Linked DNA regions of Cricetulus griseus. The protein of the gene in region 1 purifies or fractionates together with the protein of each later gene. This does not show direct contact. Links are inferred from orthologs where the notes say so. Each region holds a gene or a part of one and is shown in the gene's direction. Other genes may lie near its edges.

Region 1 (4,132 bases):
AACCCACTCCAAGTGCCCAGGCCCTTAATTCTCAAAGTCTTAGAATTCTGCGGCTCCGATGCCTACTGGGGATTGGGTTCCCTTAACCCAGGGCTTCCTTTTCTTGGGCAGGAGGAGGAGTCACAACCTCCCCCTCCCTTTCTCCTCCGCCTACGACCAGCTTGACTTAAAAAAAAAAAATAAAAATCTAATCTTTTATTTAAAGTCAACGGAGGAGCAGGAACCCCGCGCTCCTGCCTACAAGATATTTTTACTAACTCCTTAATCTCTGCCAAGAAGGGCAACCTTAAGGAACCTCTGTTTTCTGTTTGAAGATTTAGATAGCAAGGGAGGGGTGTGATAGTCTGGGCTGAAACTCGAGGGCTCTATGCACTTGGGAAGGGTTATTGGGGCAGAGGTAGGGTGGGACGAAAAAAACCCCAAATACTAACAATTTAACACGAGAATCAACTTGAAAAGCTCTGAATCAAACTGGGAGCTGAACCTACCATGCGGCTGGCTCCCAGGCACGAAGCCTCTGGAGTCCTCGTCCAAGGAGGAGAAAAGGGGTCAGGTGAATACTCAGCATGTGACCCTGAAGAGGGGGAGTCTTGGGTCAGGAGGGGCTGTGCCCATAGCCTAGGCGCGCCCACACGCACCCCTGGAGGAGAAAGGCCGAAAAGACATCTCCCGCCTCCGCCCCGGGCTGCTAGCACGGGACTGCGCCCCCAGCGCCCTGCCTAGCTTCTCCAGCTGAGCGCGAACCACTCTCAATGAGCCCCCAACCTGCTTAGGTTTCGTAAAAGTTAAAGTCACCCAGCCTCTTGTCCTTCCTGCATTGCCCATTTCTCTCCCCCCCACCCCCATCTCCCGCCAACGCCCCCAAATCTCTTGGGCTCGCCCTTCCTGAAAGTAGGCGAGGCCCAGAAGCCAAAGCTGGGGAGAAGGAGGAGGGAGGGGTGGGGGTGGGAAAGGGGAGGAGCCGAGCGTAGCGGCCCAAGGGCGTGTCCTGCACTAGCCACGCCCCTGGGTGCGCGCGGTGGTGGTGGCGGAGGCCCAGCCTCGCTCTGAGAGACAGGTATCGCTTAGACGCCATGTTGTGAGCGGAAGTGGGGGAGCGCGCGGCGGTCGCTGTTCTGCTGGAAGCGGGCGCGGGAACCGGCGGGGAGGGGAGGTGGGGGGCGGAGCCGTAGTCCGGGCGGCGGAAGGAGGAGAGGAAGAAAGGGGCGAGCCCTGGTGCCTGGCGGCGGCGCGAGGCTCTCGCTCGGAGTGCGGACGGCTGTGGCCAGGCGCTGGGCGTTCGGGCGGTCAGTGTCGGCGTCGAGCTCGCTCTCGGGAGCCGCGGCTGTTCTGCTGCGGCTTTTCGACTCTGCCTTGCGCTCGAGCGGCGAAGGAGCCGGGCCGGCCGTGGGGCGGGTGGGGAGGGAGGAGGTGGTGAAAGCGGCGGGCCGGGGGGGGGGAAGATGCCGCTGGCGCAGCTGGCGGACCCGTGGCAGAAGATGGCTGTGGAGAGCCCTTCCGACAGCGCTGAGGTGAGTGCAGCCGGGCGGCGGGGCAGGCGCGCCCCTTCCCCACGCCTCCGCCGGCTAGCTCTCTTCCCTGGAGCTGCCCCTTTGACCACCTTCTTGGGCTCACATCTTGTCCCGGGTGCGGGATTCTGCTTTGGGTCTTTGGGGTTTGCCCATCTGTCTATTCCTCCCTCCTTCACCCTCACCTCTCCCTGGCTTTTTTTTGGGGGGGCGGCTGCCGGTGTGGCGGCGCGTGGGGTTTTGGAGTGGGCGCTGAGGCTTTGCAAGAAGCCGGTTTTAATCAACTTTGCGTGGGGGAAGCAGGAGGCAGAGCGGGAGCCGGCGGGGAGTTGGGAAGTTTGGCCCTGCCGGCTCCGGGGGCTTCTCCGGAATCTTAGCGACTTTGGGGTAATGGGTTCGGTTCACCCTGGAGCCAAGACTTGAGTCTGGCCGAGCGAGGGAGTTGCTGCAGAGAGACGGGCACACGCCGGGCAGAGTGTTGAGGGTTTTGAGTAAGGGGTACAGGACTGAGGGTCACCCCCCCCCATCTGCTGCAGCGCTTTCTGCTGCCGCACAAGAAAAACCAGACGTCTCCGGTCCCCTACTCCCTGTTTGGGGGGTGGTCACTGAGTTGTAAGACCCCGAGTATAACTTTCTTTCTTGTCGGTGGAGGTGAGCGGGTGAAATTCAAGGAGATCAGCGGTCGCTGTAATGGGCTCTCTGGTTTTCTTCGCCCGGGATCTGGTGACCATCCCTGAGATACCCACCCCAGTGTCAAAAAGCCCAAACAATATACCCAAACAAGGCAAAACAGAATTTCTGCGAACACATCCCTGCACCGAGCTTTTCGCAGCCGCCCTGTCCCAGAATCAACTCGAGATCTGAGAAAATAATACAGACAAGATCCATTCCAGGGTATCAGCGCTCTTCTCCAGAGTGGAAAAATCAGTTCCTGATGGTGGCGCGTCTGTGATTCTTCTTTCTTGACTTTTCGCTGCCTTCTATCCTCGCAGCGGACTTTAGGGGATTACAGGATGATAGGCTGGGTGTGTGTAATAGTTACTGAGCGAGTGACCCCATTTCTGGAAAGCATGACTGAAACGCGGGGGTGGAATGGGGCAGGCTCTGATGAGTGGTGTACTTGGCGGCAGCCGCTGCCCCTGCCGGCCTCCGCAGTGTGAGAGGTAGATAGGGTTACTGGTTACGTCAGTAAAACTCAGGCTCAGTTTGGTGTGAGATGCAGGACACTTACAATCTCCTGGAGGGGGAAGGGGAGGAAAGAGGAATCCAATCAAATCGTCTTTCAGGTTTTCTCCCTAGTCACTCCACTGCCATATAATTTATTTGATCTTCCTAAATGCAGGAAGAGTTGTAATAAAGCATACAAGCCCATACTTAATATATTTTGCTACTAGATAATGCATTTAATATCTAAATGCTGTTCAAAAATAAAGGAGACATAGATGTAGATATATATTGCCATGGTTTTTTTTTAAGGAAAAAAGAAAAATCGCGTTTTTAAGACTGACAGAAATACAAGAATTTTATTTAAATTTGAGAGCCGATGTGATTCTATAAGTCTTTAGTAACAAAGTTAAATTTAGAATGTTTAATCACCATTTGAATGGATAGTGTGAAAAACAGTCTGGCAAGGGATCCTCTTCATTTTTTGTTTCTTCAGAAAAAAAATCGCATTTAAAAATACAGTTTATCAAGGTGATTAAAATGTTCCCAAAGTGCCACACCTGTCAATGAAATTGTATATACTTAGAATCTGCTTTTTAATTTAGTTTTGTGGGACTTTTTAAAAGTTTTTTGAGACAACCCAGGCTCACCTGGAACTATGTAGAGCAGGCTGGCCTTGGTCTCACAGAGATCTGCTTGCCTCTGCCTCCCAAGCATGGGGTTAAAGGAGTGTGCCTCCATGCCCAGGTATGAGTCTGCTTTTTAAATACACACAAAAACAAATATGATTCAAAATTAATCCAATCATACATTAAAAATGATTTAAAATTAAAGCTATACCTCAACAAATTGCCTTTAGATAGTTTGTTTCCTTTGCTTGTTAAATTGTTAATCCACATTTTTCCTTGGCACGTGTCAGTATGTAGAGAGAAATCATTAAAAATTCTACTTTATCCTTTTTCTGTATAGTGTGCATTTAAATAAAATACAAGCCTATTTAGCATCTAATATATATGCAAAGGTACTGTGCTGTACCTACTGTTTTTTAATCTTTCCTGTAACTCAGCAGAGATTGTGGTCTCCATTGTTACAGGTTAGGAAACTAAATTCAGTACTTAAAAGCACAAAAATTGTAATTAGTGAATGGCAGAGCCATATTTGAAGCCAGGTAGATACAATTTGTGTGCTTTCCTTTATGTTACAATAGGTGCTTCGGGCTGGAGAGATGGCTCAGCCATTAAAGTCTAAGCTCACAGCCAAAATAGAATAGGTGCTTCAAATCTTTTGTGAAAAGAGTCAAGGCATAAACATGATAATAGTTAGAGATCATGTATTCTTCATAAGCAAATACAGGATCTGATTTGGGAAAGCATTAATATACATAATATATTATATATAAATATACATCTATATATAGTGTGTGTTGTGTGTGCACACTTGCACATTCGTGTGTTAGTGTT
Region 2 (3,645 bases), on another chromosome or scaffold:
GTACCCGGGACAGTGCCTCTTTACCAAACATCCTGTCCCCTGCACTACCTGAGAGCCCCTCTCCATCCTGTGTTTCTCATGGCAGAACTAGAAATAGTGGTGCAGTATGGTCCAATTGGTCCAGCATGGTCTGGCAGTGCAGCCTGAATTCATTGAGTCTTGAGCCTTTGTTGATATCATGTGGAGGAAGGGCTTCTCAGTGGGTAGGGTAGCCTTTAAGGCCCTACCATTTTCTAATGTTGTGTGAATCTCTTTCAGGGATGCTAGGACTAGAGTGAGAGGAAGTGTGAGTGTTGGGGTCGAATTGAATCCCCCTTCCTCTCCATATTTCTCTTCCTTGACCTTAAAAAATATAAACCTTTTATTTTACTTGCTGTCATTATTATTGGTATTTATTATTAGTACTACTGAGTGTGTGTATGATGTATGAGTGTGTGTGTGGTCTCATGTGCCACGTTGCATATGTGGAGGTCAGAGTTGCAGTCTTGTAGGGTCAGTTTTCTCCTCTGTTTCCACCTGTTCATGGGCTTCTGGGACCAGTCTTGGCTTGGGGCAGGAGTGCCTTCATCCTCTGAGCCTTCTTGACAGACCCGCCTCTCCCTCATTCTGTTAGCTGCTCAGTTCAGCTGCCTCTTGGTTTAAACAGGCCTGGGAGACCTGATCTGAGAACCTCCCAACTGAACTCTCTACATCTTTCAAATTTGGCTTTGTGCTTTACTTGCCAGCACACAGGGCACCTGCTACTCCTTGTAAGAGCCTCCTCCCATCACCTCCTACAACAGAAGCTGAAATACCTTCTGTGAGGGCAACACTTTCAATGTTTGGGGCTTGCAGGCCATGAGATCTCTTTTGCAATGACTCCAGCCCGCCCTTGTAACACAAAAGCAACCCCAGACAATACATACCCAAAGGAGTATGGCACTGCTCCAAGAAGTCTTTGTTTATGAAAGCAAGTGGCTGGCTTGGCCCTTAGGCCTTGCTTTGCTGACTCCTGCAGCCCGTGGGGCCTTCATCCACCATCTCCAGGTGGCCTGCTACCTAGGTATCTCACTCTAAGACTACCTCACACACTTCATATTTTCTGTCAATTTTCTATTTAATTTCCTTTGCCTTATTAGAGTGGAAGGTCCACCAGAGCAGGGACTCTGCCTTGTCTCCTGTTGCTTCCTGAGCACACCGAACAAAGCATGGCCTGTGGTAGATATTCAATAAACAGTGGACGAGTGAGAAAAACAAGCCCTTAAACTTTACCTGGCTGTCAGTTGGGTCTTGCTTTCTGCCCACCCCCCTCTCCGCCTTTTGTTTTTCTTTTTCATCAACTCCTATCTTCTTCCTTAATGTGGGTTTCCCTCTGTGTTCATGCACTGTTTAACGTCTGTGCCCCTCTTGGCTTGTGTGCGTTTGAATGGGATCCCCTGTGAAAAGCCCCGGGCCCCTTGTGTTGGCTGCTGCTGCTGCTGTGCTGGTATTTCTTGGACCAGATGTTTATTAAATAGTGGGACTAAAGCATGAATGGACTGTATTTTAGTCATGTGGGAGATTTGTTCTTTTGAGTGGGCTCTGGGCAGAATAAGTGCCTTGTGATGCCCAGATGTTGCTGCCCAGATCTGGAATCGTCCCAGAGTAGACGGAAAGCATTGTGTTTTCTGGGCTCAAGACTCTGGGTACCATTCACAGCTCTCACTATGGGCATGAAAGCTTACTTCATGGGCCCTCAGGGTCACCCTGGCCCTGAGGAAGGGCAGTGGTCTCATCTCTCCCTGCCTCTTCAGGGACTGTGATGACGTTCAGTATGCCTGCCTTCTCTGTGTATGTCAAAGGTGCCCCAGGATGGAGATGGGAGTGAGGCATGAAGACCTATCAGAGTTGAGCTTTCCACCCGGGACTCGAAGGTTTCCTCAGGAAGTCAGGACACTCACAGGCAATGTGTCTATTCCAGTGGGGTTTTTTTTTTGGGGGGGGGTGCAGATAGATGGACTTTAGAGTGGGAGAGATCTCTTTTATTTCCAGTCAGGTGACTGATATGGGGTGGTGGATCATGGAGGACCATGATTAATGTGGGCATCAAAGGAGGAGCTGGGCTAAACAGGAGCAGGAGGGAGGACAATGTGTTCATAAAGAAGAGAAGGATGTTGAGGAGACTGGGGACTGGGGCAGGATGGCTCTGGCTTCACTAGTAACATGAGAGGTGGGCATCCTTATTCAGAAGCTGATTTGCAGTATCGGGCCATTAATTGTCAGGGACCCCCCTCCTTTTCTTTCTTTTGATGTAAAGGGTAGCCAGGCATGTATTATTTTGAGGAAGACAGCGTTTCCCAGCTCACCCAATACAGAACCAGCTCAGTACTGATTGGACCATGAGAGCTAACAAAAATGAGAAAGTCAATAGTCCCCACTTCCCAAATGACCAAGAGTGTGTAGATGGGTCCATTTGCCCTTGAATTTGAGACATTTCACAAAAGCTTGGTTCTGTGGTAACAGGCTAAGTGAAACATGAGTAAATAGTTAAGTCAGTCTGAGAGAGAGAGAGAGAGAGAGAGAGAGAGAGAGAGAGAGAGAGAGAGAGAGATCGCATACACCTCCCTCATGTTGAATGACTAACTTGGCAATCAGTACCTTTAGACTTTTCTTACGGATTTTCCCTCTACTCTGGGGCATGGCTGGTTTTTAAAGCCCTGTTTACAGTATGTGGAAACAAACCAACACAGGACAGCTTCTGGCTGCTTCTGTGGCCGTTGTTTCCAGGGCTGTCAGTCAAGTCTGTGTGGGGGCTGCTTCCTGGCTTCTGGGGTGTGGTGAGAGATGGGCAGCTCCTGAGGCCATTTGTAAAACAAGAACAGCGTCTCCTGGGAAAGAACTGGCCTCCACTGACCTTTGTTGGACCTTCTCTCCTCTCCCTCCTTTCCCATCTGCCTCTGTCTTCTCTCTCCCACCTGTTCTACAGAGCCACCAACCAAATACCAAATCTCCCAACCAGAATCGTACGTGGTCGCCCCCGGGGAGTCGCTAGAGTTGCACTGCATGTTGAAAGATGCCGCGGTGATCAGTTGGACTAAGGATGGGGTGCACTTGGGGCCCAGCAATAGGACAGTGCTTATTGGGGAGTACTTGCAGATAAAAGGCGCCACACCTAGAGACTCCGGCCTCTATGCTTGTACTACAGCTAGGACGGTAGACAGTGACACTTGGTACTTCATGGTGAATGTCACAGGTGAGTGGGCTTGCAAGTGTGACACTCTGTCTCTTCTGTAGCTGTTTTCTGATTGAAAGTTGTTATTATTTTCGGCCAAGTGAAATCACAGTGAACTGTACTCATTGACTGCCAGGCACATAAAGTGTCAGCTTGCTATTCATTCCAGACAAGGTCTTCCTTTGTTGCCCAGGCTGGGCTTGAACTCCTAGACTCATCGCCCCACCCCCACCCCCACCCTACACACACACACACACACACACACACACACACACACACAAGCCGATACCACAGGCATAGACTACTATGCCTGGCTGATCTATTTCTGAAATTCCTCACTGGTACCTGATGTACCACAGATTTCTCAAGTGACCGAGATATTCCAAGTCAGAGCACACAGAGTCCTCTTCACCCTACACACTCCCAGCATTCTTGGCATTTACAGTATAGAATTG
Region 3 (3,734 bases), on another chromosome or scaffold:
GGATATGCTGGGGAAAGAATACTAGCAGTCTTGCATCTCTAGACTGCTGAGAATTTCTTTCCATCATTGGGTGGGGAAGGGCAATGTCTTGTCCCGTGAACATGTTTCAGCCTTTTTTTTGCATTGCCCCTTGCTGCCCCCTTGTCTCCTGTGCCCTGTCTCCTGAACTTAAGGGCTGTGCTGGGGGTGGAGAGGTTCAAGATGAGCACCTGCCCTGCTGACTTCTCAAGAGGACATAGAAAAGAAACCCTAGGGCAGCCTGGCCCTGTGCCGTAAGTCACAGTGGCACCATGTTCTCCTGTAGGTGGTCTTTTGGGGTGCTCTTGTGGGAGATCTTCACTCTGGGTGGCTCCCCATACCCTGGTGTGCCTGTGGAAGAGCTCTTCAAGCTGCTGAAGGAGGGTCATCGGATGGACAAGCCCACTAACTGTACCAATGAGCTGTAAGCATGAATTGGGGGAAAGACTGTGGGGGAAGGCCTGCTGGTAGTTGGCACCATTGAATCCACCGCTGGCAAGCTGGGTCATATGTTGAGGAAATCAGGAAGGGCTCCTTAGGTGGCGGCTCATGGGAGGTTCTTGAAGTCCTCGGGCTCTGAAGGAAGTGGGAGCATGGAGGGCAGATAATGAAACTGTGTGTTTGGAGGGAGCAGCCTCCCGAGTCATGCCGCCCCTGCCCTCTGGCCCAGCTCTGCTGTTGCCTTCCATCTTTGACCTCACTGTCCTGCTTCAGGTACATGATGATGCGGGACTGCTGGCACGCAGTACCCTCTCAGAGGCCCACTTTCAAGCAGCTGGTGGAAGACCTGGACCGCATTGTGGCCTTGACCTCCAACCAGGTAGAGCTACTCTGGGCTGAAACTTGAGCGGTCATCACATAGGCACTAAGGGGACCCTGCCATAAGAAGGTTTGTGTGCCATCTATCCTTTCCTTCTGTCACAGGAATATCTGGACCTGTCGATGCCTCTGGACCAGTACTCTCCCAGCTTTCCCGACACACGGAGCTCTACCTGCTCTTCAGGGGAGGACTCTGTCTTCTCTCATGAGCCGTTGCCTGAGGAACCCTGTCTGCCCCGACACCCGACCCAGCTTGCCAATGGTGGACTCAAAAGACGCTGACTTCCCCGGCCTTTCCCCAATTTCGTCGTCACCTGTGCCCCTCACCCGTAATTCCCTGCGGGACACACTGCCTTTCCCCTTCTCCTTTGCTGCTGGCAAGAGCCAGTGTGTACCTGAGGCCTTCCTGTGAGGCCTACCCCATCGTCACTCCCCACCCCGCCCCAGATCCCTCTTCCTCTTCTCAACCGGCCATGTGAGAAGGGAGTCAAGAGGCAGGTACTTGCTGGTAGCCACTTCCTCCTTCCCAGGTGTTGGACCAAGACCCATCCTGCTGCCTGGTACTCCTTGGAGGCCTGGGGAGTAGAAGCAAGTGGAACAGGTGTGCAAGCAAGAGCTCTCTGGAGTGTTCTGGTTGACTCATTGGCCTCCTGTGTTCTGGTGGCAGCAGCCTTGTGGCTACTGAAGCAATGGGGTTTGTTTCTGTTCGGGCCTTAACTGAAGGCAGTCTCTGCTTCAGATGGGGGGTATCAGTGGCTTCTTAATTCCAATACTAATTTGCTTTGCTGACCAAATACCTGGTACCAGAAGAGAGTGAGGCAGAGATCGGGGGCAGCGATGTGGCCCTGGGGCTGAGCCCTAGACTCGGGGCTCTGTACATAGCTATGAAGAAAACACAAAGTGTATAAATCTGAGTATATATTTACATGTCTTTTTAAAAGGGCCGTTACTAGAGATTTACCCGTTGGGTGAGATGCTCCTGGTGGCTGGGAGGCATCCATTGCTATATATTAAAAACAAAAACAAAAACAAAAAAAAAAAAAGGAAAATGTTTTTTAAAAGGTCATATATTTTTTGCTACTTTTGCTGTTTTATTTTTTTAAATTATGTTTTAGACCTATTTTCAGTTTAGGTCCCTCAATAAAAATTGCTGCTGCTTCATTTTTATCCTGGGCGTGTGAAAAGGGAGCAGATGTCCCCTGCAAAAGAGGGAGACAGGGACTAAGGGGCCATGAGCTGTTGGCACTGTGTGATTTCTATATTTCCCTGACCTCCCAGACCCTTCTATCTCTGATGATTTGGGAAAGACAGGGAAAGAAGACCAAAGTAACGGAGGGCAGAGAACCAAGACTAAGAGCTTGTTCCCTCTGATCATAGATTGTTTCCTCAGAGGAGATGAGACTAGCCAACGGTAGAACAAACCATACAGAGACTCAAAGCCCAAACCCTGTGTGGGTGCGCCTTTGCATCTATGAGAGATGCAAAGCTAGTCTTGTCTTAACCAACCTACTCTCCATTTCCTTTCCCATTCCTATCCTGCCCTTCCTGAGTCCTGTTACCAGGTTGCATTTGTTGTGACTATCCCTGATCTTGGTTTGTAGTTTTTCCTGTACAAACTCCACCCACCCCTCAGGAAAGGAAAAACAATCTTCTTTGGTTTGGGTCTGCTTGGAGACTTACTCCTGCCACCTGCTGGTGGTTATTGTCCTCTTCAGGAGGCACCTTATCATCTTACTCAGACCAGCGCCGCTCTATTCTTAGTGCTTACTGCTGGGTCACTGGGGAATACAAGACAATTCAATATGGCCTCATCCTGCAGGGGTTAGGGCTGCCTCTTTAAATACATTCTGAACGGGGTGTTTTTGGTGGCTGTGGTTTTGGTCATCATCATAGAGTTGTTATCATTGTTTCCCTCTGTAAACCTGTAACTATCAAAGTATTACAAGTGTTTTCTTGTGCTGAAAGGTATAATTCGGCGAAGAGGACCAGGGAATGAATTTTAGCTCAGAATCATCTGCTTAGAGACCATATCATAGTGTCGTTTTCCTTGTTAAAACAGTGACCATAATTTCTGCCTCAGCGCTGCTTGACTCAATGCTGTGTGGATGGATGGGAGGAGAATCTACGGAGTGCTTTGTATGACTCAAGGAAAGGTGCTAGGGTATATAAGGCACTGAAGTCCTTGCTGTTGCTATTCAAATTGCCCACAAATATCCCCTGAGGCAGGGATGGCTATCAAATAAAACATAGTGAAATTGACCTGAAAGAAAATGAAATGGCTATTTTACTTAGGTGACCAGATTGAGTCTCTTGGGAAAGGGAATCCAGCTTATATAATGAAGATGTGCTGTCAAAGTACTGCATCTGTCTGGTTTCCTGGGGGTTAAAATATGGCCAAGGCATCAATCAATACTGCCTTTCAATCCTTTCTAATTGCCAGAGGCTAGAGATCATCAGTCCCTTGGCTCTGTTAATGTAATATATTGATTTCAGGTAAGTAAGATTGAGCATAGATGAAGTAAGAAATGTGCCTTAATGGTAATGAAGTCTGTCTATCAGCTGCCACCGGGTGGAGCCAGCAACCTAAAATCCCCCCACCATATTAGGTAGTGGGCCACTTTGCTCTGAAGTAACAGACCTACCTTCCATTTGGAATCCTTGGCCTGGATTTAGTATTCTAAAACTCTGGACGTGACCAATATGGCTTGTGCAGAATTAGACCTGTTACAAGTGCTGGGTGATACTATTAAATAAAATGCCACCAACAACTATTATGGCAGACTCCTGTGTAAGGTGTGAGCTGTGTCTAGTGTCACTCCAGGTGCATGTTAGAGGTGGCCTAAATTGTACCCTGTGAGATTATTAGTAGCTGGTGGAGCCAAGACACCTACATCTGC

What was found.
Region 2: the proteins of Rps6ka3 (region 1) and Fgfr2 purify together in Homo sapiens (affinity purification with mass spectrometry; 3 studies listed by BioGRID and IntAct, counting the BioPlex papers as one, with this or other methods). This does not show direct contact. The link is inferred for Cricetulus griseus from reciprocal best matches to the Homo sapiens genes RPS6KA3 and FGFR2.
Region 3: the proteins of Rps6ka3 (region 1) and Fgfr1 purify together in Homo sapiens (affinity purification with mass spectrometry; 4 studies listed by BioGRID and IntAct, with this or other methods). This does not show direct contact. The link is inferred for Cricetulus griseus from reciprocal best matches to the Homo sapiens genes RPS6KA3 and FGFR1.

Annotation. Positions count from the first base shown.
Region 1 is NC_048604.1:94,187,205-94,191,336, forward strand, and holds the start of Rps6ka3 (ribosomal protein S6 kinase alpha-3), read left to right. Parts: upstream 1-1,210; 5' UTR 1,211-1,442; coding exon 1,443-1,511; intron 1,512-4,132. UniProt on the Homo sapiens protein: Serine/threonine-protein kinase that acts downstream of ERK (MAPK1/ERK2 and MAPK3/ERK1) signaling and mediates mitogenic and stress-induced activation of the transcription factors CREB1, ETV1/ER81 and NR4A1/NUR77, regulates translation through RPS6 and EIF4B phosphorylation, and mediates cellular proliferation, survival, and differentiation by modulating mTOR signaling and repressing pro-apoptotic function of BAD and DAPK1.
Region 2 is NC_048596.1:70,566,674-70,570,318, forward strand, and holds part of Fgfr2 (fibroblast growth factor receptor 2), read left to right. Parts: intron 1-2,944; coding exon 2,945-3,211; intron 3,212-3,645. UniProt on the Homo sapiens protein: Tyrosine-protein kinase that acts as a cell-surface receptor for fibroblast growth factors and plays an essential role in the regulation of cell proliferation, differentiation, migration and apoptosis, and in the regulation of embryonic development.
Region 3 is NW_023276807.1:58,202,490-58,206,223, reverse strand, and holds the end of Fgfr1 (fibroblast growth factor receptor 1), read left to right. Parts: intron 1-304; coding exon 305-442; intron 443-732; coding exon 733-838; intron 839-942; coding exon 943-1,119; 3' UTR 1,120-3,096; downstream 3,097-3,734. UniProt on the Homo sapiens protein: Tyrosine-protein kinase that acts as a cell-surface receptor for fibroblast growth factors and plays an essential role in the regulation of embryonic development, cell proliferation, differentiation and migration.